Tamandua tetradactyla: one gene and its partners. The protein of the gene in region 3 interacts with the protein of the main gene of each other region in a biochemical or structural test. Links are inferred from orthologs where the notes say so. Each region holds a gene or a part of one and is shown on either strand. Other genes may lie near its edges. The genes, in order: FGR, ITK, KHDRBS1 and RASA1.

What was found.
Region 1: of the proteins of KHDRBS1 (region 3) and FGR, one has a biochemical effect on the other in vitro, tested with the Homo sapiens proteins (2 studies listed by BioGRID, with this or other methods). The link is inferred for Tamandua tetradactyla from reciprocal best matches to the Homo sapiens genes KHDRBS1 and FGR.
Region 2: the proteins of KHDRBS1 (region 3) and ITK form a complex in vitro, tested with the Homo sapiens proteins (4 studies listed by BioGRID, with this or other methods). The link is inferred for Tamandua tetradactyla from reciprocal best matches to the Homo sapiens genes KHDRBS1 and ITK.
Region 4: the proteins of KHDRBS1 (region 3) and RASA1 form a complex in vitro, tested with the Homo sapiens proteins (2 studies listed by BioGRID). The link is inferred for Tamandua tetradactyla from reciprocal best matches to the Homo sapiens genes KHDRBS1 and RASA1.

Annotation. Positions count from the first base shown.
Region 1 is NC_135328.1:198,648,857-198,656,288, forward strand, and holds the start of FGR (tyrosine-protein kinase Fgr), read left to right. Parts: upstream 1-4,416; 5' UTR 4,417-4,596; intron 4,597-4,677; exon of another isoform or gene 4,678-4,774; intron 4,775-7,432. UniProt on the Homo sapiens protein: Non-receptor tyrosine-protein kinase that transmits signals from cell surface receptors devoid of kinase activity and contributes to the regulation of immune responses, including neutrophil, monocyte, macrophage and mast cell functions, cytoskeleton remodeling in response to extracellular stimuli, phagocytosis, cell adhesion and migration.
Region 2 is NC_135346.1:38,277,278-38,285,292, forward strand, and holds the start of ITK (tyrosine-protein kinase ITK/TSK), read left to right. Parts: upstream 1-5,005; 5' UTR 5,006-5,151; coding exon 5,152-5,289; intron 5,290-8,015. UniProt on the Homo sapiens protein: Tyrosine kinase that plays an essential role in regulation of the adaptive immune response. Regulates the development, function and differentiation of conventional T-cells and nonconventional NKT-cells.
Region 3 is NC_135328.1:193,833,467-193,840,526, forward strand, and holds the start of KHDRBS1 (KH domain-containing, RNA-binding, signal transduction-associated protein 1), read right to left. Parts: upstream 3,012-7,060; 5' UTR 2,850-3,011; coding exon 2,468-2,849; intron 1-2,467. UniProt on the Homo sapiens protein: Recruited and tyrosine phosphorylated by several receptor systems, for example the T-cell, leptin and insulin receptors. Once phosphorylated, functions as an adapter protein in signal transduction cascades by binding to SH2 and SH3 domain-containing proteins.
Region 4 is NC_135347.1:44,038,711-44,046,393, reverse strand, and holds the start of RASA1 (ras GTPase-activating protein 1), read left to right. Parts: upstream 1-4,677; 5' UTR 4,678-4,765; coding exon 4,766-5,286; intron 5,287-7,683. UniProt on the Homo sapiens protein: Inhibitory regulator of the Ras-cyclic AMP pathway. Stimulates the GTPase of normal but not oncogenic Ras p21; this stimulation may be further increased in the presence of NCK1.

The DNA of each region.
Region 1 (7,432 bases), about 4.8 Mb from region 3:
AAATTTATTCTTTCTTTCATTTCTGTTTTCATCCAGCAATGATCAAGCACCTATCAGGTGCCTGGCACTAGCAAGCTGCTGGAAGACTTGTAGTTAACAAAGGCCCTGCCCTAGTGGAATTTGCAGTCTAAAAGGGAGAAAAACACATCAGCTAATACACATATGTATTAAGTATAGCTGGGGTTTTTTTTCTCCAAAAGAAACTCTAGCTAAGGTTAACACATTGTATTTGGTGGTGATGTCTCTTTGGTCTCTTTTAATACAGGTCATGCCCCATCCTGCCTTCTTTTTTTTTTAGGACAGCAACTTTTATAAGTGCCCAGGCTAATTATCTTGTAGAACATCCCCCACTGAGACCTTGTAGTGCCATTTAACTTATTCCTCTAATCCCTGCATTTCTTATAATTGGAAGGTAGTTATAGAGGAGGGGTTGGCAAACTTTTTCTGTAAAGGCCAGAGACTTAATACTTTTGGCTTTGCAAACCTTATAGTCACATTGCAACTACCTATTGTATCAGTATGTATCAGCATAACGGCAGCAATACCCAATGTGTAAATGGAGCATGACTATGTTCCAATAAAACTTTATTTATGCACACTGAAATCTGAATTCATCATAATTCGAACATGTCACGAAATAGTATTCTTCTTTTGAATTTTTTGCAATGATTTAAAAACGTTAAAGCCGTTCTTAGCTCATGGGTTGTTCAAAAACAGGCAGCCGGATAGATTTAGCCTGTAGTTTGCCAACTCCTGGTCAGAGACTTGATTGGATTTAGGCTAAATATTTATGGCAAGAATTTTCCATGGTAATATTGTGGGCTTCACAGCCATCATATGAGGAGGCACATACTGCCGATTGAGCACCAGCTGTGGGGTATCCACCAGGTCTCTCTATTGAAAAGGAACATTTTCTTCTTTACAAATAGCAAGTCATCTGTGTGGTATTACTTGGGCACTGTGAGAACATTCTGTTCCTTAAAGCCTTTCACCTGTGGTTTCAGCATCATTGACGATTCTTGTCTAAATCAATTATTTCACTGGGTTTGCAGAATTGAGTTTTTCAAATTCTATCTTTGGTAGGAAGCATTCTTCTACAAAGAACCTTCCATTATCAAGGAGGAATGAACCACCATTCCGCCTGAAAAAGGCAGGATAAATGCTTACTTTTCTAAGGGAAGGTTTCTTGTTTTGTTATTTTTGTTTTAAGTGAGAGATTCTAGTCTAGAACATGTTCATATGTTGAGCAGGTAATTCCATGGAGAGGGACAAGTGGATGGTGCAGGAGAGGTGATTACAGAAGGCATGAAGTCTTCAAGAAGGTGAGAGGGTTTAGAATCCAAGTGGAGAAGAAGTTGGGGAACATAAGAAAGGGTGTGAACTGTTCATCTGGGGAGAGATATAGGGACAGCTTACTAAGAGGAGTTCAGTTTAGGCTGTGACTTAATGAACCTGTCTCCCTGGGGTGTGATTTTCTCCTCCACACTGAGAGAAGTTGAATGGCAGGATTCCTGCAGGCCTGGAGTTTTCCAAGCAAGTTCAGTAGAGGCAGGAAGAGACAAGGAAAGACAAAATATTTGCAAAGGAAGACTGTAAAGACTGATGATGGAATCTAAGCTGGTTAAAAATAGGAGAGTGATGGCCTGATGGGAAAATGAATGGAAGATTCCAATGGGCTTGTGAGCTTTGGTTTTTGGTTTTGGTATCAGTTGTCAGATTTCTGTTAAAGGAGCATGTAATTATGGGGAATGATAGGAGACTTTGGCCAGAGAGTAGGGCGTTTGAACAGGCCACTCCTGTAGCCTCTTTGCACTGTATCCACCCATATTCTGTGCAAACAGGGAGCGTCTGAGGCCAAGGAATGAACCATATTCATATCTAAGCTTCCAACGCTCAGAAAAAGGCCTGACCCAGAATAGGTTTGAGTGAAGGTTTGAGGTCTGATCAATTGAATAAATGATAGCAAGCACATATATGTACTGAGCACTAGTCTAACACTTAGTGAATTCTCCCAAGACTCCTATAATGTGGGTTCTACTATTATCTCCATTTTACAGATGAGAAAACTGAGGCACAGAAAGGTGAAATAACTTCTCTAAGTTCACAGAGCTAGCAAGAGGCAGAGTTCACCTACAGCTGGGCAGTCTGGGCCCAGAGTCTATGTTTCTCACCACTAGGTTACTCTGAATGGATGGATGAGGGTCAGAGAATCCTCCTGTCCCTATTTCAAATGGTACAGATGTGTCCGGACGTCAGAGCCCTGATCTGGGCAAGGGAAGTTCAGGGACGGGAGGAGGTGGCCTAACCCCAGGAGACATCAGACAATAAGTAATAAGCAGAAATACATAATTCCAATCGCCATGAAGGAGACAAACAGGGTGCTGAGACCAAGAATGGAGGTGGCAGATCCTTAGATGGAGTCATCAGGGATGGCTTCTCTGAGGAGGTGACACTTTAGATAAAGGACAGAAAGGAGCCGGTATTATGAAGAGCAAGGAGAAGCATGTCTCAGAAAGTGGAAACAGCATGAGAGAAGGTTTTGAAGCTCAATGTAGTCTAGGAACTACACAGTGTAGCTGGAGAGGGAGCTGGCCCAAGGTGGGACTGGAGAGGTGGGCAGAGACCAGACAGAACCTGGGAAGCCGTGGGAAGGAGTTTAAGTTTAATTAAAATAAAAAAAAATTTATTGATATATAGTCACACACCAAATTTAATTATTTTTATCATTGTTTTATTTCATTTTTGTTATTCCAAGACAAATGGGAGATAAGCTATTGGAGGGACTATTTAATATTTGAGCAAGGGACTGAAGGTACATCTTACCTTCAATTATTTGCTCTTTCATTGGGCTTTCATCTGTTCACCCATTAATTCCTTTGTTCCTTGATGGATTCATGCATTCCTATGTCCAGAGAGCCTGCTGCTCTGGGCCAGCCACCGCATGGGCACTGGGGGCGCTGGAAAGAGCCAGACCCAGTCCTTGCCCTTGAGGAAAACACATCCCCACACATCCATTCCCCAAGAACTAGTCATACATACTGGTAGAAGGCACTGAGTGCCCTGTTGGAGAGGGGAACCGGAATCAGGGAAGGCCTCCTGGGGAGGCGCCTGTGAGTTAGACCTTGGAGGATGACAGAAGTAAATGAGAGCAACTGGGGGCTCTCCCAGGAGCAGGGACCAGTGTCTTTCACCGGTGCTCCCTAAGGCTGGCACCTGCCAGGGAATGCTAAATGTTTGTTAACTGAACATGTGGACCAAAGGCCAGCCAGGGAGTGCTGGATGGTGGAGATGATGCTGGCCAGCCAGCGCGAGACCACCCTTCCGAAGCCCCTGCCCCCCCACCCCAACCAGCTCCCTTGTGTCATCTTCCCCATCCCTCCTCCCGTTTCCCTACGAGAAAAGTACACCTACCTGCATCCCACTACTCTCTGCCACTCTGTGAGAACCCATCGCACAGACATCTGAGCCCACCCCCTCTCAGGCTTCTGAACCCTCCCCTGCCCGTACACAGAAACACACGATTCCGAAGAATACGCCCTGCGGTTGGTTCCAAAACTGCATCCATCGTGTTCATTGCCTACAATTGTACACACACGCATGCACATGCATATGCACATATACACGCTTCTGTGTTTACACACCCTCCCTTCCTTCCCACTGCATCCCAACACGTGCACACTTCTCCATCAAACAACCCTCCTCCCCATACATCTTCCTCCCCACCGGAAGAATTTTTTTCTAGGCCTTAGTTTAAGACTAAGGAAGTAACAGCTGTGGGAAGGGGAATTGACCCCCAAGTTGAGGAGGGGTCAGCGATCCCTACCAGCCTCAAAGGCTGATAGAAGATGGTCTCTGTTTCTCTAAGACTTGGGCAAGGGGAGGGCTGACACCCTTCCTCCTTCATTGTGACCCGAAGGCAAATTTTCTCTGAAATGTAGTTTCCCCAGGGAAGGTTCTTGGTCTACTCCCCAACCTCCCGCATCCCTGTGCCCCAGTGCCCAGGGCCCTGAAGGAGGCAAGGCAGGTGATGGACTCACAATGGCTCTTACATTTCCAGGTCAACTGGCTGTGAAAGTTTGGGTCAGACCTGTCTCCATCTGGGCCTCAATGGACAGAGAGGGCAGTGGGTTCAGTGATAGAGAAAAGTGCTTTCTAACCTCAAATCTAATGATTCTAAGAAAGCAGGTGCCTTGCGGGGGGGGGGGGGGGGGGGAGGGGTTCTTTGGGAAGGTGGTACTGGGGGCTTAGGCGGGGTGTGGGGTGGGGGACAGGGCTGGGGTGCTGGGAGAGGGCTGGGAGGGCCGATCCCTGGTCACCCCGGGGAGGTGGGAAGTGGGGCCGGGCGAGCCTAGGATCTGAGGGCCCCTTCCCCCCCCCCCCCCCCCCCCCCGCGCGGGCAGCTGGTTCGAGGCCGGGGCGTGACTGAGAGCTGTCCCCGCCGCCGCCGCCACCGCTGCGAGAAGAGAAGTCCGAAGCGGCTTCCTCCTCCCAGCCAGAGCCCGCGGCCGGCAGAGGCAAGCAGGACCCGGGTTCCGCCCCCGCGTCGGCCTCGCTGCGGCCGGGAGCCCCGCTGGATCGCCCCGGGGACGGGCACAGGTAGGCAGGTGGGGGGCTGGGAGGCGCAGCGCCGTGCCCCGCCCCCGGCCCGGCCCGGCCCGGCGACAGGGGCCTGGGGGAGCGAGCCTGGGAGCCTTAGGGTGGACAGCTGAAGAGACTTGGACCAAGAGGCTCCCGCTCAGAGAAGGGTCTGGGAAGAACTCAGGAGACCTGGAGAGTGAGACTGGATGCAAGTTGTGGAGGGGAACAGGGGAGGATTAAGAGGGTTCCCCAAAAAGGTCTGCTGGGGAAAGGGAAGGGGACCTGTGGAGTAAGTTTGATCGAAATTGGAAAAAGGGCTAAGAGAGTCGGGGCATGGGGAGTAAGGGGACCTCCCCAAAAATGGTCTGGAGGAGAACTGAAGGGACCTTGAGAGTGAGAATTTGTGGGGAAACTGAGGAGTCTAGGGAAGGGGAGCTAGGCGGGGGGACTGGAAGGGTCAGGTGAGGCAGTTTGCAGGAAAGAAGGGTCAAGGAGAACCATTTCTGGGGGACTCAGAATGTATGACGCAATTGTGGGGGCCCAGGAGATCCCCGATCGCCAACTGACAGAAGCCCGGGGTGAAGCCTGTGGCTTGGGGGGGGGTGGGGGGGCAGGCGGCCAGGAACGAAGCTCCCCCTCCCCCTAGACTCTCCCTCCCCGCCGGGTGGGAGGACCCGGGCCAGCGAGGAGACGCCTCTAGGCTCTAGAGGCGCGGGTCCCCTCTTCCTGGGGAAGTCCCCGCCCTCGGCAAGTCAGGCCTCTCTGGGTACCCGCCCCCCCGCAGTGGCGGGCTCTGTCCGCGTTCCCCTCGGGATCCGGGAATTGCTGGCCGCCCCGACGGAAATCCTGCCTTTGACCGTGATTGCCCGGAGGGGCTGTCTCCATGGCAACGCCAGGGAGGAGAGGCAGAGCCGGGCTCTTGGCAAATGCTGGTCTCCTTACTGGAGCAGCCCCTTCTGTCCTCATCACCTCCTGACTTCTGGGACCCCAGGCAGGGGCCGTTCGCCGGACAGAGGAGTGAGGCCCTGATGCACATCGTTCAGGGATCCTTCAGGGAAAACCTGCAGAGACCTGGGTTCTTAGCTAGTCTGGGCCTTTCTTTCATTGCTGTGTGACTTTGGGCAAGTTACCGGGCTCCTCTGGGCCTCACTTTCTGCATTTGAACAGTGGGGAGAAATGATCTCTGCCCCTATCCCCTATACCTGAATCTGTGTGAATCGGGTACAGAAATCAGTTTGGCTGAGTGTCCTGGGGAGCTTACAGGCCCTCGCTGACCCAGCTAGCCTCTCCTGCGCCTTCTCGACGGCACAGAGGGGGCCAGGAAGCCTGGGTCTCACTGATAGGGCCCCCAGGCACCAGCACACAGTTAGTATCTTATAAATAAGTAAGTGTCTGTGCATGTGTGGAGGGCCCACCGTGCGGAGTCACTGGGGGTGAGATCTGCCCCCACACCCAGCCAGCCTTCCCCTGGGTCATGGAGTCTCTCAGGGATCCCGAGGCCCTTGGCATCCTTCAGTCTGGTGGTGGGTGGGAGAGCAAGGCCCTGTTCCAACTTCACAGATGGGAAGATGGAAATTTGGGAGGCAGCGAACGACAGGGCCAGCCATTGGGAGTGGACTCCAGGGCCTCTTTCGCTTGTGACAAAGGGGTTCCCACCTAATCCCTGCCAAGTCCCATGTAGCCCTCTGGAGAGGGGTAGGGGTGGACACGGGAGTGGGCGCAGGGGGCTGTGTGTATCGGTGCTCTCTCCTGCTTTCCAGGGGGCGAGAAGCTGTGAGTGAGGGCGTGAGGGTGTGAGGGTGTGAATTTGATTCGGGCTCTGAGCAAATGAGCATGAGCATGTGAGTGAGCCCGTGTGGGTGTTTAGGAGTTCTCAGCAGCCACCTGGGGCCAATGAGGCAAAGGAAGTGGTCAGACCCTGGGGGGTGGGCTGAGCAGGAGACCCCAGAGTTGGGGAAGGAGGTGCCAGGGTCCTTCCTGAACAGAGCGGACAGGGAAGGGTGCCCCCCCCCCCCCCCAGGACTCGCAAGGGGACTTCCTTTCTGGCCACAATGTGGAATCTAAACTCTCATCTCCTCAGCTTCCCCAGAACATCCATGGGCTCCCATCTCCTGTGAATTCTGAGTCCCAGGCCAGGTGGGAGCTGAACTCAGACTCCTGTTTTAGAGGCTGGTGGGTTTTCAGAGACAGATGGGAAACCACTTTTACTCCCAAGTAGAGAAAACTCAGCTGGTACCTTCAGGACCATGTGGAGGAAAAAGCTGGTGTGGCACGTATCTGCCACCCCCACTCCCCACCCCCATCACATGCACCTGGCCCCACTAGGGTAGTAAAGTCAGAGTAGGGCCTTTCTGCTAGGGCCCGTGAGTGTTTGGGGTGGGGTGCCGGTGGGGGTGGGTGCTGTGAGGCCTCCAGAAAAGATAGTGTTCAATAAGAGGGATGGAGGTTCAGTGAGAGGTGGCGACCTTAATAAGAGGGATAAGGGCTCAGAAAGGGCCTGGGGTTCAGTGAGGAGTGGTGAGAGAACCCTTCCTTCATCAGGTCAGGTCTTAGTGAGGGGTGGGGCACAGAGGGGCTGGGGGTGGCCTGCAGATCTTAGAATTGCTTCCTGCCCCTCCAACCCTGGCCTGCCTCCTGCCCAGCCCAGAACCCTGAGGAGAAGCCGGAACTCTTGCAGGATGGTGGTTTCCTGCCACTGCCCCAAGTCCCAGTTCCCTTTTGGTGAAATCCCCCAGGCAGCTAAGCCAACTCAGCCCTCCCCACTGCACCCTGGGAACTTCTCTTTCTTCTCAGCCCGGCCCCACAGGCCATCCCCTCCACCCTGCCTTGGAGGGGTCTTGTTTAGGGAAAGGAA
Region 2 (8,015 bases), on a different chromosome or scaffold from region 3:
CGTTTTTTTTTTGTTTTTTTTTGTTTTTTTTTGTCCCAGTTTACCACTTTATGTTTTCCACATCTGTTGTCAGGAAATATGCCTTTCTCTTGTTCAATTGTATTCTGGTTCTTATATGAATTAAAGAGTAGAGTAGTACATTGAGGATACAAGTGCTATTGGGTTTTGCATTTACTCTTTTAGTTACCCCTTCTGATAATCTTCATTTCTTTCCACTACTCCAAGCCGTGCTCTCCTGTCTTTTCCTTTCAACCTGCAGAACTCCCATCAGTAATTCTTGTAGGGCAGGTTTCATTTTGATGATCTCTCTCAGTGTCTGTTTATCTGTGAACATTTTAAACTCTTCATCATTTTTGAAGGAAATTTTTGCTGGATAAAGGACTTTGGCTGACAATTTTTCTCTTTTGATGCCTTAAATATATCACACCGCTGCCTTCTTGCCTCCCTGGTTTCTGCTGAGAAATTGGTACTTAGTCTTATTGAGGAGCGCTTGTATGTGGTGAAGCACTTTTCTCTTGCTGCGTTCCGAATTCTGTCTTTCTCTTTGCCATTTGACATTCTGATTAGTATGTGTCTGAGAAAGTCAATTAGGATTTATTCTGTTTGGAGTATGCTCAGCTTTTTGGACATGTATATGTATGTCTTTCATAAGAGTTGGGTGATTTCTTTACCATTATTTCCTCAAATATTTTTTCTGACCCTGTTCCCTTCTCTTCTCCTTCTCGAACACCCATGGCACATGAGTCCGTGCACTTCATGCTATCACTCAAATCCCTGAGACACTGCTCAGTTTTTTCCTATTCTCTTCTCTGTCTGTTCTGACTGCATGATTTTGATTGTTTTGTCTTTTGCTGATTCTTTCTTTTGCTTGTTCAAATCTTCTATGGTATGCCTCATGTGTATTTTTGTCTGCTATTTTAGCTTTTATTCCCCTAATTTCTGTTATGTTTCTTTTAATATATTCAAATCCTTCTTTATGCTTACACATTGTCTTCTTAATATCCCTCATGTCTTTCTGTATATTTTCCTTCATCTCCTTGAATTGATTTAGGTGATTTATTTGAACATCTTTGATTAGATTTCCAATTTCTGAGTCTTTCAAGTTTTAATTTTTTCCCATGATTGAGCCATGGCTTTCTGTTTCTTAGCATGGCTTGTAATTTTTTGCTGATGTCTAGGCATCTGCTGATTTTGATGAGTTAACGCTGAAGTTAATTTCTCCGTCTTGTCTAGGGTTTTATTGTTGTTTGGCTTTATGTTAAGATCTTTTTTTTTTTTTTTTTTTGATGGTTGGTCTAATTTATTCTAGACCTTTAGTATAGCCCATGTCTAAATGTTCACATTTTCCAAATTCTTCTTCCTCTTATTCTTGCCCTAGATATGTGGTACCCTTTTGTGTGTGTGTGTGTGTGGTACACTTTTTAAGATTACAGTTTTTGTGCAGTTGTTTTACTTCCAGGAGAGAGTTTCCATTCCTCTGTTCCTTCTACAGGAATTTTGATTTGTTCTGTTTGTTTTTATGCAGACTTTTTCTCCCTGCTCCTATTAAATTCTCTCCCTCACTCAGTGCCCCATTTTCCTTACACAATTCAATTCAATCTTACAGCAGTTCAATTTAACCCCTCATTATTTTTCTATGAGGCTTTTTTTTTTTTGCTTCTGGTTTCTTCCCCATTAAGGTATCCTAACCCAGAGAGCCAAATGCATCAATCCAGAAAGGTGGGTCACTTCTAAAAAGTCCATTTTGCCATAGGTGATCCAGTAAGCTGAAACTAGATTGAGTAAGGACACAGCAGTTCCTACCAGCCTTTCCATTGTGGTCTCTCTTACTCATTTTTCCTTTGCTCCTGGGGGCCCTCTTGTATACAGCACTCCTCAAGGTTTGTGTTCCACCTTGGGTCTGCACACTTAGGTCTTGGGTGCCTGGATATATGTGGAGTTCTAACTCACTGCTCTGAGTCATTCTATAGTCTCAGTCCATGCGGGGAAGGACCCAGGCAGGATGCTTCCATATGTCTCACAAGCTGTATGGGAACCAAGTAACCAAGTGACATCCACGAGGGAATTCTCCTACCTGAGATCTTTCTGTTTCTTTGATTCAGCATCTGTGGGGTCTTTCTCGAGTCTCTACCATCCTCCAGAGTTCTAAGCAATTATAAACTTGTCCCTTTAGTCGCTAAATCTCAGTTAAGCCTTTTTCAGGGGGTGTCTTACATATTGATAATATTGATGATGTCACCATAAATATCCTTCATTCCTTTTTAAGGCTGAATAATATTCCATTGTAGGTATATAACATTTTATTTATCCATTTATCCATTGATGGACATTTGGGTTGTTTCCACATTTAGGCCACTGTGAATAATGTCGCTATGAACAGTAGTTACAAGTATCTTTTTGAGAACCTGTTTCCCCCAGTTCTTTGGGGTGTATACCTAGGATGGGAATTGATGAGTCACATGGTATCTAACGCTAAGTATTTGATCATCAAACTGAGATAGAGCTCTTCAGAAAAATCAGAATACACGTTTTATTCTTTCCTGTTGTTTTACAATCTTCAGAATAACAAACTGGTTCCCTAGCATCCTCCAAAAGTGATCAGTGGGTTGGGATGTTTTTTCAAGAATCTTTTGAACTCATGAACTCAAGATTTTAACATTTTTGATGCTCTTCAAATCATTACTGTTTTATTATCACTATTTTTGATGCCCAGTGTGTTCCATCCTTGGTCAGTGGGGGTTCCTTGAATTTGGCTCCGGTGAACTGGACTTTTAAAACCAAAGCAGGGAGGGCCACGGTGGCTCAGCAGGCAGAGTACTCACCTGCCATGCTGGAGACCCGGGTTTGATTCCTGGTGCCTGCCCATGCAAAAAAAAAAAAAACACCCAAAGCAAAGGGACTATTTCTTTCCACATTTTCCTGAAAGCCATGGGAAGAATCTTGGGCTGGCCAAAGAGGGCTATTTAGTAGTGAGCAAAGACCAACTCAGTGAGTGAATTTATTGGCTCTATAAGAAACACCCAAAATTATTTGTGATTGTACTCCATGGAGACGATAAATGAAAACCTTTTATTGCAATCAGCTACCAATAATATTTTGCTTTCTCAGATGAGAATACTTGTGGGAAGTCCGTAAATCTTTTAAGCTAAATCAACCAAACATAAATCTATACCCCACCCCCACCACACAAAGGAGTTTATACTCCAGCTTGGGAAGATAGCATTGTATTAGATAGAATTGGTTTTCTGCTAGTAACAGAACCTCAAAGTAACAGGGACTTACAAAATAGAAGTTTATTTCTCATTATGTTAAAAAATGTAACCCAGGGCCATCATGGAGGATTGAGGGTCATCAGGAGCCCAGGTTGTTTCTATCTTATGTCCTATTGTCCTCAATGTGCAATTTCCATCTCATGATATAAGATAGCTGCTCCAACTCCAGCCATCACATTCACATTCTAATCAGCAGGAAGGAGGAGAAAGGAGAAAGGAAATGTTATGACCTCTTTCATGAAGTTCATGCTCACTATTTTCACTCTGTACCACTGGTCACAACACAGTTGTATGACTACAACAAGATATAAGGGATGCTACAAAATGTTTTCTTTATTTTGGCTGGCCAGATGCTCAGCTAACCTTCAGGGATTCAGTTTTCCAGGTAGAATGAGAGAGCAGATATTTTAGGAAAAATGAAATCCCTGCCTCTAGTCCATACTCAGAAAAAAATATTACTATTACAAGGCAGTGCTTTTCCACACATATGTTCCAAAATCTGAGAACAGGGAGAGGTCGTTTAAAGTACCCCCCAACCTTTTTCTCCCAAAGTTTCTTGATTATGCTGGGGCACTCAGCATGTAAAACAAAATTAGATCGTAGTATACTTATTTTATGTTAACAAAGTAAGCTTTAGAGAATTTCCCTCCTATATAGCAGTAATGATTCTTTTGTTTCATTATTTATTCTTGTTCAATACTTGCCATTTCCGCTTACATTGAGATTTCTTGATTATTTATTTCAGGCTGAAAATTGGGCTCACATACTACACTTCAACTATGTACTAACTCTAAGTTAGTGACTAGCACCCACTATTTACAGAGCTTATGTGATTAAGTTTTCAAAAGGACCTCATAGAGAGATGAAGGACCAGAGAAGGAAAGCAGCTTGCTTGACGAAATACAGCTTAGTAAGCAACAGAGCTGGGATTCCAACACAAATTTGTTTGTTTTCAGAGCCCATACATGCTTTGTTTAGTATGCCACCCTGAAAGATTTACTTACTTTCTGCTCTTCCACTAAGTTTATGAACGGAAAAGTAAAATCTTGTACCTGTGAGACAGAGAAACTTCTATGGGCTTTCATTTAAATTTTTAAAAATATATTTCGAGTACTTACTATATGCTGGGCATTATGCCAAGTGTTATATGCTAATTATTTCTTTTAATTATCCAACTTATGTTGCTGATTATTCATTCAATAAATTTTTATTAAGCATCCCTTTTATGTGCCAGGCTCTAACGTGGATGCTGGAGGCATAAAGGGTGAGTAAAAGCAAATAGAGTCTTTGCCCATCATGGAGCTTTTAGACTAATGGCGGAGACAAGCATCAATTAGCGATTCACACTCTCCTCAAATGTACGCTCTCAACCGTGATGAGGGGTATAAAGAGAAACCTATAAGGTGCCACATGTGTATTATTAGAGGATTTGACTTAGGAAAGCCAGGAAACTAATATGAAACAATGCCCCAGGGATTGCAATGCCCACGTTCTGAGCCCTGGTACCATATGCCTCAACTGTCAGATGGCCTAAACCAGGAACTGTAAAGATTAGACTCTAAGCTTTCCTATGCTTAATATCATTTTGAGGCTACAGTTCTTCAAATATCATTTCCAAAAGGTGTATGTGTATACCATTTTTTTTGCATGTGTCTCTTAATTTTGTGACTTTGAAAGGATGTGGTTGTGGCCTCTGACATCAGAGGGGAAGCTCTGTGAGGCTGACTGAACTGATAGAAAGATAAGGTTGGAGGCAAGTTGCCTTTGAACAACTCGGAAGATCAACTGCCTCCCCATCGCATTCCTTGCCCCCAAGCTGTTTCTTCGGGTTGTTTTAAGGGGTGATGCCCAAAGCGCATCACTTTTCAAGAACTTAATCATGAACAACTTTATCCTCCTGGAAGAACAGCTAATCAAGAAATCCCAACAGAAGAGGAGAACGTCGCCTTCCAACTTTAAAGTCCGCTTCTTTGTTTTAACCAAAGCTAGCCTGGCATATTTTGAGGACCGTCATGGGGTACGTGAGCACTTTGCTTTGTCTCTTTTTATATTTGGGTTGGGCTTGTTTGTTGAACTATACATGGAATAAAATACAACAACTTTAAATGCACAATAAGAGGAATCAGAAAGGAATGTGGAAGGGAGTCAAGAGTTGAGGTGGTTGGAGTATGTGATTACACGTCTAAAATCTATGCAACTATCAGTTTCATATTCATCAGCTTTTTAATCTTGCAATACAAAATTTAATTTCAAACTTATAGCATTTTACGTGGCAAACATTATGATTTGATAGAGTTTGAACTTCTTTGAAATATACTATGTCTTATGGGACATTGATTAATAAAATAATAGCTTTCAGTGGGACCATGGGATACTAGCCCAGTTTCCTTATTCTGCAATGGGGGAAACTGGTGCTGGTTAAGTGATGAGTTCTGTGTCAACAACATTTTTGTAAATTCAACTCTATTTGTCTCAATGGTCCTCACTTACCTGACACTTAGAATAAAATGCCCTGGGAATTTAATTGTCTACAATATCATCTGAAATTTGCAAGGTACAGTGACAATCCTCTTAAACTTCTGAAAACTTCTCAGGTGACCAGGTTTATTAGGCACAGAGTGTCCTATAGTGCAGAGCAGTGGTTGGTTCTTAGCCAGAAGATTCAGATGCTTAGCTAAGTCAGCCTTTTATGTATCTAAAGATATTCCCATATTCAGTAACATAATAAGTGCCACAGGAATACACATAACAATGCCATTTGGTAGAAAAAGTACTAGACGAGGGGTCAGGAGAAAAGTCTATCTTCCCAGGCCTAAGATTCTTTCTTTAGGAAATGAAAGGACTGGAACTAATGACATACAAGAGCTCTTCCTTCTTTAAAAATACCTTTGTTTCTCTGAAGCAACAGTCGTTTTAATGCTTCACAGCAATTTTTCAAAGCAGTTTTGATTTCTTACTGTATCATTTTATTATTTCCCCATTACTATGGAGGTAGAGCAGAGGTTATTACTTCTCTTTTACTGAAGGGGAAATAACGTCAACTGCTTGATGGTCTGAAGAGAAAAAGCTGCACTGATTCCTTGCTGAGATCTGTCTTAGTAAGTGCACACATGAGGTTGGGGTCTCTTGAAGGCCAGGCTTTGAAGTGTTTGTTGAAATGGAGTTCTGAATGAGTCAAGGCTGGGCAACAGTGCCCTTTAAGTTGCAAATAAAATAATACTGCCTCTTCTTTAGAGGGTGAAAGATTTGCTCATATCCTTTTCACAAAACTAGATACAAGCCATTCAGTAGACTCTTATTGTTAAACATCAACCAATTAATCAGGAAACACATGGCAGTCAATTATTATATACAAGATGGCTTTTGTCGGTGCTTAATAAACATTCGTTGACTAAATTAATACAGGGCCAGTAGCCAAGTTTTGAACTTGGGTGATTCATCATCTAAAGCATTGGTCAGTTTTCTTCAGGTGAATGAGACATGGAAAGTTCTTTTTCCACCTTGAAAGCAGGCATCTGCCTTTAAATATTGTTTTTCAAAACCTATTGAACAGTTTCACATATATTTTTTTCCTAACCCAACAATTTCCTAGCAGCATGTTGTTTGTAAACTATGTTATAAATTCAGTATGATATTATTTGCAAATAATCACACAACCAAATGGCCTTTATTCTGATTTTGTGGGTTGTAATTTGCCTTTAGAGAATGTTGGATAATCACTCTGCTTCTTTCATCAGAGCCTTATGAAAAATTCCAGGACAATTCATTCCAGGGCCTTGGGGGAGCCTTGGGCTATAGTTTCTAAAGCTTCCCTATGGGATATAAAGGATATACACACAAACCAAATTTCTTGTTTTTTAATGTTTATGGTTTATATTCATAAATAATTTTTTAAAAGCAACATTGAATTTCTTTGTGTTATAGAAATTTATTGATTAGAAATTTATGCAAGTTCACCGAGGAGGGTAGGATATATAAATTATTATTGATCATGCCCTATGTATGTCCCATTGTTTAGAATCAGATTTGTTGGCAAGAGTGCACTGTGCATCACCTAGAATAACCATTGCATTACACTTATGGAAAGAACCTTTGTCTTTTTAAATTAAAGCTTCAGTCTTCTCATCTGTATAATGGGTACGATAATAGTACCCACCTCCTGAAGAAGTGGTAAAGACTGAGAGACAACCTATTTATGGCAAACTATTTGAAATGATACATTTGTAGCTCAAGAACAATCAGATGTTGGCAGTTCAGTATGGTTCAATGTAACATATAGAGTACTTAGCATACAGTCTGTCACCTAATCAGCACCTGGTAAGGACTGGCTCTCATTTGCAGCATCATATCTCTGAAGGAGCTAGCAGGGCAGGATAACATATTTTCTTTCTAACAAAAGGAAATACAAAAGAATTCTTCAAAGTCAAGCTAAGACCAGATTAGTCCTAGATTCCTTCTCTTCTGGGATAAATATAAGTTTGTGGGGAGAAATGTGTATGCTTCATGAGCTATGTGACGGGACACTGGGCCAGCCACTGCCCATCTCACCACCTCAGCTCCTTTCACTATCTCATTTGTAAATTTATGTCTTGAAGCTTAACATTCTGCAATCCTATGACACTATATGCCAAATAGCCCTGCTTTTTACTGAAGAAGAAATTGTTATTCTGCAGATTAATTGTTTTTATTTCTTGCTTTTAATAGCCATGCCTAATGTCATTATAATACTGCTTGAAAGACTCT
Region 3 (7,060 bases):
AATTAGGGCTTAATTCTTTTTTTTAATTGTTTAGGGCTTAATTTTTAAGTACAGTTTGGTGCAGGTGGGGGTGGTGGAGTAGGTGTGTGGATCCAAACTCAGAATAAGTTTAAATCCTAGCTCTGTTACTTATTAACTTTCCTTGGGTAAACTATTTCATCTCTATATGCTTCAGTTTCCTCATCTGTGAAAATAAGGTTAAGAGTAACTTCCTCATAGTGTGATCCTGAAGATTAAACATTTAATGTAAGGAACTCAGACCAGTGCCCGGCACTTAACATGTGTCCTCATCAGTGCTAAAATACTGTCTCCTCAGTCTCATTTTCTTGAAGTTGATTGTGACTTCACTGCAACTTTTTTTCCAAATCATTCAGAAATACCACAAAAGTCAGGCCCATCATATATCAAGACTTATACATGCTAAGAGGTATCCAGTATTTCAATTCTGTTCTCTCTTTGAGCCAACATCACATCAATTCCATTTCTCCAAATAAAAATTTCAATTTGGTTAAAAAAAAAAGGGCATAGCCAATACCAAAAAAATTAAAGAGCATGCTCTTGGATAACAGAAATTAAGCAGTGAGGGGAGGGTGAAAATTTTAACTTTTAAGGATCAGTATTTTTAAATGATTATCCTAAGAAACCTTTTTTTTTTTAACTTAAAACATGAACATCACACTGGACACTCCAAAAGGTCAGAAAATATCTTTAGTTTTCATATCTTATTCAGTACCATGGATTTATAACTAGAAGACAAGTGTGATGACAATTTATTACTTAATGATTATAGGCCAAAGGAAACTGTGCTAGTGCTTTTACACATCATTTACTCCTCGTAATTTATCATTCCCACTTTACAGATGAGGTTATTAAGGCTGAGAAAACTTCCCAAGAACACATAACTAATTGTGGGTAGAATTTTAAACTGGTTCCAACACCTTAATGTTCTAAAGCTTGTTATTTTCTTCTGATGCATTTAAGGTGGACTGAATTTAAAGATTTGGGGAAATAAAATTAAACTAAATCAACCTTTACCACTTAGCCTGCAAGTACATGTTACCAGGTTCAACCAAACACTTGGTGTTTGCAATATGCAAGGCAGTGTGAAAAAGAAAAAGAAAAAGCAGTCCTTGGCCTCAAAGAGCTTGCTAGAAGAACACAAGGAATAGTAGTAATGTTCCAAACAATCCGAAAGAATTTCAGAACAGTAAAGCACTGAGTTGAAAAGCGTCAACAGTTTTATCAAATATTTTATTCTTGACCACTGGGAGCTTTGCTTTTTGTGTTTAAAAGTAAAGACCCCTTATCAATGTTGGGAGATAAGAGAACAAAGGGATCATTTCATTTATAATCATCTAACTACTCATTCAGTGTCGAACGCTGTAAAATTTTACTTGCTTAATAAAATTTAGGTACCGTAAGAAATACCTATTAAAATAATATTTTAACTAGAAGCTAAGGTAAAACAGCCGGCTTTGGGAAGAAATCACAGCGACAAGGGGATTGGTCAGTGCTGATCAGAAAAGGAGAGCTAGTCTACAGAGAACAAAGACTAACATTCCTAATCTCTATTTCACTACTGAAGCAAAAAGAAGGAAAAAAAAAAAACCACTCACAAGCCTTTTAGGTACAACCATCGCGCAACTTATCTCAATAATCTATAATTGTCCATCTTCTTCGGAAATGTTTGGCAAACCACCCTGGTGTCCCTTACCTTCCTCTATCATCCCATACCACTGTCTATAGGGCTATTTTTCCCTTTCTTGAATGATGAGAGTGAACACACGTTGTAAAACTAAGGTCACCAATCTTCCAGCTCTGTAACAATCATTTTATCGACCTAACTCGGAGATTTGTTTCCGAAAACCTCAAGTTCCGACCCTCACTGGTCGCTAGCTACAACCTCTGGGCAACTCAATCTTCAGTCACCACCAAGACCCACCCAGCCCTAGCGTTGGCGGCGCGCTGGACAGGGCACTCCAGCCTCAACCTGAACCACACCTCGGCCTCCCACAGTCCCTCCTCGCTCGGGTTCAGTCTTCATTTCCTATGCTCTCAGTTGAGACGCGTACCACCACCAGCCATCGAAAAGGTTTTCCCCGTGGGGGAATCGGGAGATACACATTCATTTCTGGAAGAAGCTGAACACTTGGAGCGCGGGGCAGCTGCAAGAGGTGGGAGGGAGGAGGGTTAGGAAAGAGGCGGGGAACTCAGCACCATCCATCAAGATCTCTGCGCTAAGAGATCGCCGAGCCGCCTTCGAACCTCCATCGCAGAAATTCTCCCTCGCACCCCGAGCAAGGAGAGGAATTTGGAATCCAGCTATACGGAGGACGAGGATGAAAGGGGAAGAAGGGTCCACGACCGTCTCGGTCCCGGAGGCGCGGGAAGCGAGAGGAACAAAGCCGCTGCCACCCACGCCACTGGGTGGCCGGGTGACCCAGAGGGACCCGAGCGGTCCGCTTACCTGCCGTCAGCAACTGCATGGCATGAGTAAAGGAAGGATCGAGCGAGTCCTTCTCGGCCATGAGTTCAGGCAGGTACTTGTTCTCCGGCTCCATCTTGACCGAGGCAGTAGCTGAAGGGGGCAGCAGAGGGGTCGGCGCTGGACCGCCCACTGTCGCGTCGGGACCCGTGGCCGAGGGCGGCAGCAACGGTGGCGGCTGCGTGGCGGGCGAGGCCCGGGCGGCTCCCCGGGATCCTCCTCCGCCTCCCCGGGACCGGTGAGAGAGCGGAGGCTGCCGAGACGGTGCCTGACGCACTGAGGAGTGGGCTCCTGAGGGGTCCATGGAGCCACTGCGGCCCGAGGACCGGATCATGCGCGCGGCGGGGTCGTCCCGGCGCTGCATCTGGGAGGCTGTGTAGTCGAAGGATCGAGGAAGCGACGCGGCAACAGCAGAGGCCCTAGCGGCGGTTGGCGGAGGTGGGAGAGCGGGAGCGACAGCGACCGAAGCCGACCCGAGCGACCCAGCGAAAGAGAGCACCGGAAATGAGACGGCGCGCGTGCGCAGCCAGTCACCGGCACCGCCCTTGGGTTTCTCCGCGGAGAACAAAGTCCCCAATTGGGCCATGGCGCCTGCGCACCACTGCAGCGCTCGAAGAAGTCTCCTCCCCATTTCCCTTTTCCCTCCGAGTTCGACAGGCCTAAGCTTTTTGCGCATGCGCAGGTCGCCGCGGGCTTCGTTAGGTTTCTTTGCCACGTGACTCGACCCTAGCGGGACACGTGTCTCCTCCCCCTTCAGATCGACAGAGCGAAGGGGGCGGGGACTATGGAATGTCTTTGTCTGCGGGCGGGGGGGCGGAGTGTGGGGCAGGAGGCCTGTTACTTGCGAGGCTACGCCCCCTCCAACGGCTAATCTGCGCTCAATAGGGTGGACTTGGGGGTGGGGGTGGGGTGCAGGGGGTTCGCTGAAGGGAGGAAATGAGAGGAGACCTGGGTTGAGGGACTGGTGAAGACGAAGAAGAGAGAATCGAGGCTGCCTGGGCAGGAAGAGAAGGGAGAGAGGCTGCCTGGAGTAGGGAAAGGGGAAGAGGTAGGGCACCAGGAGACAGGGATGAGGAGGGGAAGATAAGTTAAAGTCTCGAGCAGCTATGAGGAATGGAAATGGGGAAGGAAGGTTTGGAGGCAGAAAGAGGGAGAACGGCGCTGTGGAAACCTTGAAATCTGGAGGATTTGAATTAAGAGTGAAGGTACAGATCGGAGGCCTAGCAAAGAAAAGGACCCCAGCCCCAATCCAGGAAACGAGAGAATTCATATCCTGTGATTTCCAATATAGTAGACATTGAAACATTAGCCACTGTTGTTCAGAGATGTTTTCTTAAAAGAAACATTTTAGCTCTTACATATAGTACTGATTCCTGCTGGTTAAGTGTTTCTAACATATACACACCAAGTGGTTTTGAGTGTTATTGCTCTTGTCTTCGTTGGGCCCCTCACTATAGATTGTTCCATACTTGCTGAAAGAGACAAACCCTTGCCACTGCTCTGAAGGCCAAGATACGAAGAGGACATTCTCCGACGGCATCTTTTTTTTTTTTTCTTCCATGATAATTTAATTAGATGGAACAGATCAAATTTTTCTCCTTTTTGATCTAATGCCTAGGTTTTCCCCCACTAAATGGGCCAGTTGTCTTATATAGGAGTTGTTGTTTTTAAAATGCAATTTTACTGAGATATATTCACATACTGTATAATAATTCAAAGTGTACAATCAGTGGTTCACAGTATCATCTTATAGTTGTGCATCCATTATCACAATCAATCCCACAACATTCTCATCCTGGGGTGTTATATGCAAGCAGAGCCTGTCTTTATTTTCCCATATCCCCTCAAAAATCTGGTGATTTCTCTAACTTTTCCTTCCATCCACAGATTTTCACTTCTCCCATTGACGGCACTCAATTTCTTTTCCCTTTGGATCATTTCCCCTAATGAGCCTACCCTTTTCAAAGATGTTTCTGGAAATTATTTTCAGGGTGCCTGGAAACTATTGATTTTTGGATATGAGAGGTAAAAGCATTCAACTAGGGAACATAAAGGCCTGACTACCTTCTTGGGGGTGGGAGAGAGAAATTACCTTCAGAAATGAGAACAAAACACAAATCTCCATAAATTATCTTACCAGTCTTACCCTCCCCCCCCATTAGACTCTAGGCCCCAATATTTTTTTTAACTTCAGTGTCGGGAGCAATACTTTTCTTTGATGTCATATAAGAAGTGGCTTTTGGGGTGCATGGGTAGTTCAGTGGTTAGAATGCCCACCTTTCATGCAGGAGACCCAGGTTCGATTCTCGGACCATGCACCACCCCCCCTCCAAAAAAAAAAAGTGGCCGTTGTCCTCAGGTGGTTTACAGCCAAGTAGAAGAAAAAAGAGAGAACATTTTTGAATAATTGCAATGCAAAATATAAATGTAACAAGTGCTAAATATAAGTGAAAATTTAGTGCTAATGAAGTTCAAAGTAGGAGAAGATAGATTTCAACTAGGGGAGGATGAGTTCTGGGTAAAGAGAATTGTGAGTAAATGAGCAGAGATGAGAGTGCCAGAGATGCATTCAGGAATGGGGGTAATCCAATTGTGTACTGTAAAGGAATAGGTGGGTCTAGGGAGCTATTGCATGGAGGAGCAGAAAAGGAGCCAGGAGAAATTATAGCTCCCTTGTAACTCATTTCTCCCACCATCATTGAAAATCCTGCTTGGGTGGTGGACTACAAATGGCTGAAGTGTCCCTGTGCTGTAATGAGATGCCCAAATGGAGGTACCTTGAGATAACTAATAAAACTTTTATAAAGAAGGGTCTGAGAAGAAGCTGGGTAGTGTGTTATCTGTGGGTTTTCCAGACTAGAATCAACAGCCTTTCCTGTGGCTGCCAAACCCTTACCTTCTCTGGAGGGTGGGATGGGGTATGCTTTTCTGGTGAGAAGCACAAAAGGTAATCTGAGACGAGGTTATTGATGCTGCCGTGTCCTTATTTTTACCAAGTGATGCGGCTGTCTTCCTTTTGTGGGGCTCTTCCTGGGATTAGGAAAGAGTAATCCTGTCCTGAAGGCCCAGAGGTCTGAAGTTCATTTTGTGTTGATCAGAATCAAAAGAGTCAAAAGACTCTGACTTTGGAGTGAGGTAGACAAACTGAAATCCAGCGACGCTTTGTCATTAGGAAAATGCTGTATGTCATTAGGAAAATCACAACCTCTCTGAGCCTTTGTGTCCTGTAACGTGAGGGTCATGCATGGCATCTGCCTCACAGGGTTCCTGTGCACATCAACAACACCAGTGTTAACCTCCTGACACCTCATTATTCTTATGACAGTTTGTGCCTAATGAAGATTTTTGGGTACTTTATGTTGGTTCTGGGTCTGAAAGGCGTAGTGTGTAATCTGTATCGTTTTCACTGACTATAGCTAGGCTTTGTTTTGGAAGGGGAAGGCCAAGCAAGAAGACCAAGTTTCTTTTCCCCGCCCAGTTACTGTGGTGGAATATGCAGGAACAACTGAGAATGCCATGATTCAAACGGAACTAGGTCCGAATTGTGCCTCTACCTTTTGCATGCTGGTGACCGAGCAAGTTACATCACCTTGCTCAGCCTCTGCTTCCTCCTCCTTCAGAAAACAAGGGGTAATAACAATACCTATCTCAGAGCTATTAGGATTAAAAGAGATAGTGTCTGTAAAGCACTTAGCATAGAGGTTGTCAATTAGTAGGTGCTTGATAAGCAATAGCGGTCATTGTTATTATTACTACACACATTAATTGAGTACTTTAGTGCAGACTTTCACTTTCACTTGAGTCCCTAATGGATGGGCTGGAGGATTAAAGTTTGCCTGCAGTTGCTGGACCTGTGTGACCTCCATGGATGGGTGTCTAGCAGGCCCCATCTACTTCCCCTGCATCACAGCCAGTTCCCAGGAGAGAATAGCTCTGTCTCTGGGCAGGAGGGTTTCTCTTCCAAGAGTGTAGTTTGTCTGTTTAATCTTAAACCTACTGAGTGCCAAATATATAGAGGGAGAGGAGAAGGGATGGGGGGAGGGGCGGGAGTCAACATTGAATAAGAGAGAGTCCCTGTCCTCGAAGAGCTCACTGTTTAGTGAAGGAGACAAATAAATAAGCCAAGAGTTACCACGCAGTATCATTTTCACTGACTATAGCTAGGTAATAGAAGAATATACAAAGAGCTGTGGGAACACACAGGAAGGAGTGACCGACCAACTGCCAGGATGAGTTAGGGAAGTTGGATCTTTGGGGAGTTGCCAGGTGGAGCAAGGGCAGGACATTTAAATGATGGGATTTCAGCAGAGCTTGGCCCTGAGCCTGTGTACTGTGTCCTCCACACTTAAGGCTCTGGAATTCAGATCTCCAACCCAAACTTATGAGTTCCAGATCCTGATAGCCAATTACATCATGGACATATGTCCATTTGGATGTCTCAAAGGCCCTTGAAACTCAACTGTCCCCTCTAACAGAACTCAAGCTGCAGGTACTAGCAGTGCTGCTTTTGGGCCCAGGTGACTTAACATAGCTCCCAGTTTGGAAGTGTCTCCTCCTTCCTGGGCTGGGGCTTGG
Region 4 (7,683 bases), on a different chromosome or scaffold from region 3:
CTTAATTGTTTCGTACACTCCTATCCTTGTTTCAAGTTTCTTTTGCCTAAAGGGCAAATCCTGGGAGGAGGGGCACGCTGTAGAGGAGTTTCCCAAGTCAGTCTTTCCCAGACAGAAGTTCAGGAACATACAAAGGGAATGCCTGCCAGCTCCAAACTGCCATTTAGAGAGTTGAGGGAGGGGCAGGGAAGGGCACCAGGAGCTTCTCCCATGGCTCCCCAAAGCTGTGCTCTTTACTTGGCCTGCAGATGCAGACCTTCAACTGTCCTCCACAGCTTTGAGGAAGTATACTGCCTTAAAATTCCCTCCACTGCCTTTGTTCAGGGCACACTGGAACAACGGTCACCCTTAGAACTGGGCCCCCAGAGATCCGAAGTAGTTAATAAAATGTTGTGATAAACCATTGGCCTGTGCACACCCTAGATTTTGGCGAAGTAGATTTTTATGTCCCTTTCTGGCACCAGAAAGTTATGCAGGGACTGCACCCCACTGTTGCCTGCTATGAGAGTTGGGGATGGATGCTGGTAACTGCCATGGAGAACATTTTTCAGGTATCTGAGTATAATTCAGCAGCCTCTTCCTCCTGCTCTTCGGTGGATACAGTACAGTGCTTTACTGGACTGCTGAGTTTCAGAATAGCTGATTCAGACAGCTGCTGCCTGTTTAACAGTTTTTCTCATGGATGGACTGATTCCTGGAGCTTAATATTCTGCCATCATCCTACAGTCCTCCTTTTGAGAACTTTAAGGTCAACAAATGCAATGGGAATATTACAAATTAGGAGTAAAAGCTTCTTTTCAAAATTATTGCATCAGTGAAACATTTTTACACTATTTAGATAAAATTGGAAGCCTATTTATACATCTGAGTATGCATTAGGGCATGGAACGAAATATTATTTCTTGCTCAGTCTTCCAGTCAAATCTACTTATGTATTTGCTCTAAATCCCTCGAGGCTGTATGAAACAATGTTATATCACTAACTCAGAATTACCTTTTCTCATACTTAGGGTATAAAAACTGCAAAATATTTTGTAGTATATCATGTTCATATTTGAGTTGCCAATAAATAAAGAATGAGCCAGCTTCATTTTCTAAAAAATTAAATTTTCAATGTCTTTTCACCCACAAGTTTTTGCCCAGAATTTTTGATTACTTATTCTTCATCAAAAACCATATTTCAGTATCTACAGTAACTTTTCCAAAATCGCAGCTATTACAGATTATTTTATTAAACTTAAAAAGCTATTTTGAATTTTTCCCCGTATTCTTTTGAATATTGTTTTCAGTACCTCCTGTTTAATACTCTCTGTGCACTTACTTAACAGACTGTTTACTTCCTTTCGTTTACTGACATTGTATAAGAGCACACCTAGCACCCCAATTCCTACAGAATCCCTGCAATGTCTATTAAAATATTAAAATATAAAAAATATTTTAATAGATTTTTCATAGTATTTAAAAAAAATGTCTGCAGTTTTGGACTCATGAAACACATAAAGTATATCTATCAGAAAGTTTAGGGGGTTGAGAGGAAAGGGAGCGATAAGTAGGAATTAGGGGAGAAATCAGTAGGAAAAAAGAGAACATAAGCATATAAATCAGAGAAAGGCAGAAGGTCAAGGTGAGGAGAAAAAGGAAAAAAGTAACAAAGATAAAGGAGGCAGGAATATCACACTCTTTCAAAAGAAATTAGAAGTCATTAAAGGTAGAAGACTCATTTGATATTAAGGAAGTATATAACAATAGTAAAACCAAGGCCTAAATCTGTCCAATAATAAGAATATATAAAATATTTGGAAAATACCTCGTCAAAAAATGCGTGGGATGAAAAGGACAGTGCCAACTATAAAGCTAAACGTAAACTAGGTAAGATATGGGTACTAGGTTATTTACAAAAAGACTTAGAACATCCTTGCTAGTAGTTGAGAAATTGATTTCCAAAGATGTGAGCTGATCAAATAATCTAGTATTTGTTATGTGAATGGAGATCTTTTCAAAGCAGTGTGTTGGGGCTGCCTAACACTGGCTTTAACTGTTTAGAAAACAGTTTAAGCTAGTATATAATTGGTGTTAGATTGTATAAAACACAGGCTTTAATTGCTAACGAATTTTCAAAAAGCAGAAGCAATTCTACAAATTAGGGGAGTGAGCCTGACCTGGGCTCTCAGACATAATACACATGGTGTAGGATCACTTAGAGATGATCACTTTTAATTAAGAGAAAGTGTTGGAGGAGAAGGATGCTAAGACACTGTAGCTCTTCAAGAAAAGGTTACATGGAAACTTGCTGCGGATTCATACATTAGGACTTAGGCGGATTCATACATTAGGACTTAGGTGAAATATATATTTCCCTGATCTCTTCTAACTTTGAGGCTCTAAGTCTAAATAAAAGGAAGACTATTCTCAGAAAGGCCACCAGACATAGTCATTTATTATTTCCTTCAGCGTTATGGAACTACTACGTTCTGGTCTTTTTTGTTCCTAACCTCCTTTTTTAGAATAGTTAGCAACCCAATACCCAACTCTCTTACCCACCCTCTAATGAACGTCATTGAATCTGCTTCCTCCTGTATTCTTTCTTTCAAAACGTTTTTAGGTATTGCATACCTCATTCATGACTAGCATACTATACTCAAGTGCAGTAGTTCTTAAACTTTTAAGTTTAAAAATCACTTGGAGGATTCCTTAAAACACAGACTCCAAGGCTCTATCAACCACAGTTTCTGATTCAGAGGGCCTGGGGTGGGGACCTAGAATTTGCATTTCTAAGTTCCTTGGAAATAATTGATCAGAAGCGACCCCTTGATAACTACAGCTCTGGGGTCTAGTCCCTCCTCACTCTCTCAGCTGGTACACTGGAGAAAAAGTAAGCATAATGGCACTCAGGACTATTATAATCAAGAGCTTGCTTACCAATGACTTGGTAAACAGGCTTACACAAATTCTAAAATCAAAGAAAAGTCTTGAGTATGCCTTGTCATTTAAGTAGCTTTTTCCCTTTTTCTCTGGCTTCTATATTGGTTTGATCATCCTTAGCAGAGAAATATCGATTTCAAAGGCCAATATTCAATGATATTCAGTGTGGTAGCCCTCCTGGGGGGAATTTAAAAGACAAGAAAAATACATGAATCCCAAACAGCAAACTACCTCCACATATATGAAGCAAGTTTATTGTTAACTTTTAAAGTTATATATAACTTGCACTCTGGGATCTACTTGACATTTGCCTTGTGGAAGGATCCCAGTCATTCATGTATGCACTGCAGGACATGCCCTGCAGTCTTCTGCAGGCGGAACACGGACACAAGCGCATTGATTAGCGGAGGCTGCGGCCCCTCTCCTGTCCCACCCCTCCTCAGTCCCTAACAGACCTGCAGCAGCACAGGTAAACCCCAGTGTCTGGGTGACACGGTCGGTTAAGAAAACAAAACCTTCACATACACTGGTAGAAGTCGGACTTCACTACCGGTATTTCTACCAAAATTTTCCACCTTCCCCGTTTGGTCCCCTTTATCTTTTTCGCTTTTTCCTGAATTACAGAATTTTTTTTTTTTTTTTTAGTTTGTAATAGTCATATTTTAATTTACATCATTCAACGAAAATAAACTATGGACAGTCCTGCCTCGGCCTTCGCCGCAGCCACCCGCCCGTCCACTGCTGAGCCCCGGCTCCGCTGGCTAAGGCCGCTTGTTTTCTACCGGTCCAGAAGGAAGGAACTGACTCCTCCGCATCTTCCTTTGTCCTTCCCCATTCCTTCCTCTCTACCGCAAGCTCGTCCCTCTCGTCTCTCCGGTTTCCACGGCGTTCACCGGCAGGTGCTCAGGTACCCTCCCCCTGGCCTCCCGCGGTCCCCGGGGACCGCACCGGCCTGCCTTCGCGCCGCCGTCCCGTCCGGCAAGAGGTGCAGCAAGGACAGGACACCCGCCGCCGGGGGACAAGGACAGGCGAAAGCGCCAGGCTGCCCCGCGCCGGGACCGGGGGAAGACAACGAGCCAGGGCGCGCGCCGCACGCTCCCGCCGCTTCCTTCCCTCCCCTCTCCACTCGTCCTTCCCTTCCTCCAGCCCCGGGCTCGCGCGTGCGTACAGACTGGCCTCGCCTCCCTCCGACCCCGCCCTTCCTCCCCCCCGCCGCCCCGCCCCCGCCGCCCCGCCTTCCTTTCTCTCGTTCGGGTTTAGATAACTGTGAGCTCGCGGTGGCGAGCAGCTGCGCCGGTTTCTCCACCACCCCGCCCCCCTCTCTCCGCCTCTCCACACCCCTCCCATCTCCAGCCCCGCGGAGGATGAAGCGGCTGCAGTGGCCCCAGCCCGGGCAGCGGCACCGGCGGTGGCTGCGGTGGGGGTGGCCGGAACTCGGGTGGTGAAGAGGCGGTGGCGGCGGCGGCGGCGGCGGCTCAAGGAGCGGCGGCCGCCCCAGCCGCTTTCCTGTGCTCCCCTTCCTCTTTAGTGCAGTCAGGAAGTTTTTCGCTTCTGTGCATGTGTGTGTGTGCGTGTGTGGGTGTGTGAGGTGAAGGTTTGGGCGGCATTTGTGCAGGCGTTGGATTTTTTGCCCACTTCGCTTCCCGTAACCCGGGCAGCCTCGGAGCCTGGGCTGTGGCCCGAGGAGGGGGCGCGGCGGCGGGCTCCCTCCTTTTGTTGTTGTTTCCTCCGCCTGGGGAGCTGAAGAGGGGACGCGCCTGGGTGGGGTGACTCGGAGCCCGGGCCTGCTGGCCCCCGGGGCTCCCGGGCGGGCAGGGTAGGGCCGAGTAGAGCGGGCTTCAACATGATGGCGGCCGAGGCCGGGAACGAGGAGGGCGGTCCGGTGACCGCCGGGGCAGGAGGAGGCGGCGGGGCTGCGGGCTCCAGCGCCTATCCGGCAGTGTGTCGGGTGAAGATACCCGCGGCCTTGCCGGTAACAGCCGTGCCCTACCCTGGGCTGGCCGAAGCCGGAGTGGCCGGGACTCTGGGTGGTGGAGCTGCTTTGGCATCAGGGTTCCTAGGAGTCGGTTCCGTGGCGGGAGTCCTGGGGGGAGCCGGACTGACAGGGGGAGGTGCTGTTGCTGGCGTGGCTGGTGCTGCTGCTGCTGCCGGACCTGGTGGGGACATGGCTCTCACCAGAGGGATCCCTTCGTTGCCTGCCGAGACCCTCGGGCCAGGAGGAGGATTCCCCCCTCTGCCGCCCCCTCCTCCGTTCCCCTCCCTGGGCGCGGGCCTGGGAACAGTGGACGAAGGTGATTCTCTGGATGGACCAGAATACGAGGAGGAAGAAGTGGCCATCCCCCTGACTGCTCCTCCAACTAACCAGTAAGTCAAAACTGCTGCTCAAGGAACCAGGAAAGCTGGCTCTAAGAAAGAAGTGGGGCATGCAGAGGGAAACCTGTCTTGTTCTTTCAGCTGTTATTTGTTTTGAAAAAAAGTTTTGAAGCTTCAGGTTCCATGTGCGGGGATTTAATTTGATCACTCATCTTCCCTACAGGCACGCTCCCTGGCGTCTTCGTGTGTTTATTGCTCCTCTGGGAAGATGTAAAGTTTTTAAGATGGGAAGCTTTGGAAAATGTGTATTCAGTGAGAACCGGATATGGTTCTACCCCTTCCAAATTCAGGTGGTGGACTGGGATTCAGCTGAGATTGCAGCTACCAAGGCAGTCATTGTCTGTATTAGCCTGCGTATGTGTTCTCTGCTGAAGTTGGATGATTAGTGAGAATACTTGAATTACAAGTATTTAAGTATTGGGTTAAAATCATTTGAAAAATGCATGAGTCAGAATGTTTTGTTTTTGTTGTACTGCAAATCCTAATTTTTGTCTATTGGAAAAATAAAGTCTTTGAACCACTTATGAAAACCTGTGTCAGAGAGAAGCAGGAAAGGAGTTTTGTGAATTACAGGTGTGGTTAAGTGTCCACACTCTAAAAATGTCTGTAACTTGTTCTATTGAATTGGTATTTATTAATATTAGTAATTCTTTAATAGCTGAATAAGTGCAGTGCTGAAGCAAGACAGAATTAATAGTGCTTCCCCTTTAACCCTTTGTTGGTGGTCATTTTAGTATTGTATTTGAAAATTGTTTGACATTCTACTGCAGAGTATATAGGACAAACGACTTTTTAAAAAGTCATTACCCATCTTGTTCTTTTCTTAAATGGACTTAGGTGTGTATTTATAAAAATGGATGTTGATGAGAGGAAAATGTTGACATGGGAAGTGGTGATAGGTAAAACTTGTTTATGGATCCCTGACATTAGTCTTAATTGACATTTAGAATTTTAAAAATTTGGTATCAGAAGAAAAAAGACTTAGTTCAGATGTTGATAATCACTGGACAGTTGAAAGTGTTTTGAATAAGCTTCTTTAAAGGATTTAGAAAGGACTTAAAAACTGATTAGGAAAAGATTCTGTAATAATAATCCATATTTTGACTTAAGGCTACATCTTTTGATGTTTAAGGTACAAAAGTAAAGTTATGCCAGCTATAGTATGGGGATGTTGTATTCCCTTTATATTAATGCAAAGTTCATTTGTCCTGTCATTTTATTCCAATTTATTTATCCTATCTATGTATTACAGACTTTTCTGAGGCTATTAAATTTGTAATTTTATAGCAGTACTTGCAAATTTCCAATTTTTGTTGTAAAAATCAGTCAGTTGAATATTTGAGTGTCCACTAAGTGCTTGGCATGGTAGTTAACAATAAAGTGCAGTTTTTCATACTGAAAGAATCTACAGAATCTAGTCTTATGCTGTTTCACAGCTAAATTGAATTAGGCGTATTTTTGATATTATAGTTCTAAATTTTCAGTAAACGTAAACGTATTTAATAGTAAACATAGAACATGTTTGTGAGAAGTCTGTTGTGTGAGATTTCTATCCTTATATGTGTTCCGGAGTAAAAATGTTAATAGGGCTATATTTATGAGAATTTTTCATGTTCTAAAAAGTATCCCATTTCTACTATGTTTTAAAAATTTGCCACTGAGGAGTACAAATTTCCTTTTTTTCTTTATCTTAGATATCAACTCAGTCACTGGAGGCAATACAGTATAGTGGTTAAGCTTGCAAATTCTGAAGTTAGACAACATTTGGGTTGGAATCCTGACTGCCGCTTAGTAGCTGTGTGATCTTGGAAAGGTCAGTTTCCTCATTTGTAGAATGAGGATAATAGTGGTACCTCCCCTGTAAGGTCATTTTGAAGATTTAATGAGAAACCTGAAAGTATTCAACACAGTGTTTGGCATATAGTAAGTGTTCAGTAAATAATCCCTGCAAATTACAATAGTATAATTTAATCATTATATTGCCTATTAATTCTTTTGTTAAAGGGATTCCCTTATTAATAGCTGTTTTAGAGAAGGTATTTTCTCCATTTTTTTTTGCATGGGCAGGCGCCAGGAATCCAACCCAGGTCTCCGGCATGGCAGGCGAGAATTCTGCCACTGAGCCACTGTTGCCACCACCCTTAGAGAATGTTTTTTGATTTCCAAAAACTTATACTATGTGCTATAAGTTTACCGTGATTACTTATATTAACATTTTTTTTAGCTTAATAAAGGCTTCCAGGAATAGGTTAAGCAATTTCAGTGGTGACGTTCAAGTGTTTTCTATAAGCTCCTATTTTTAAATTGAAGAGGAGAAAAGTCTTAACTTAGTTAAAAATGTCAAATCTTTTGAAAAAATACTGAAGAAATATTTTTAGACTAAATTAA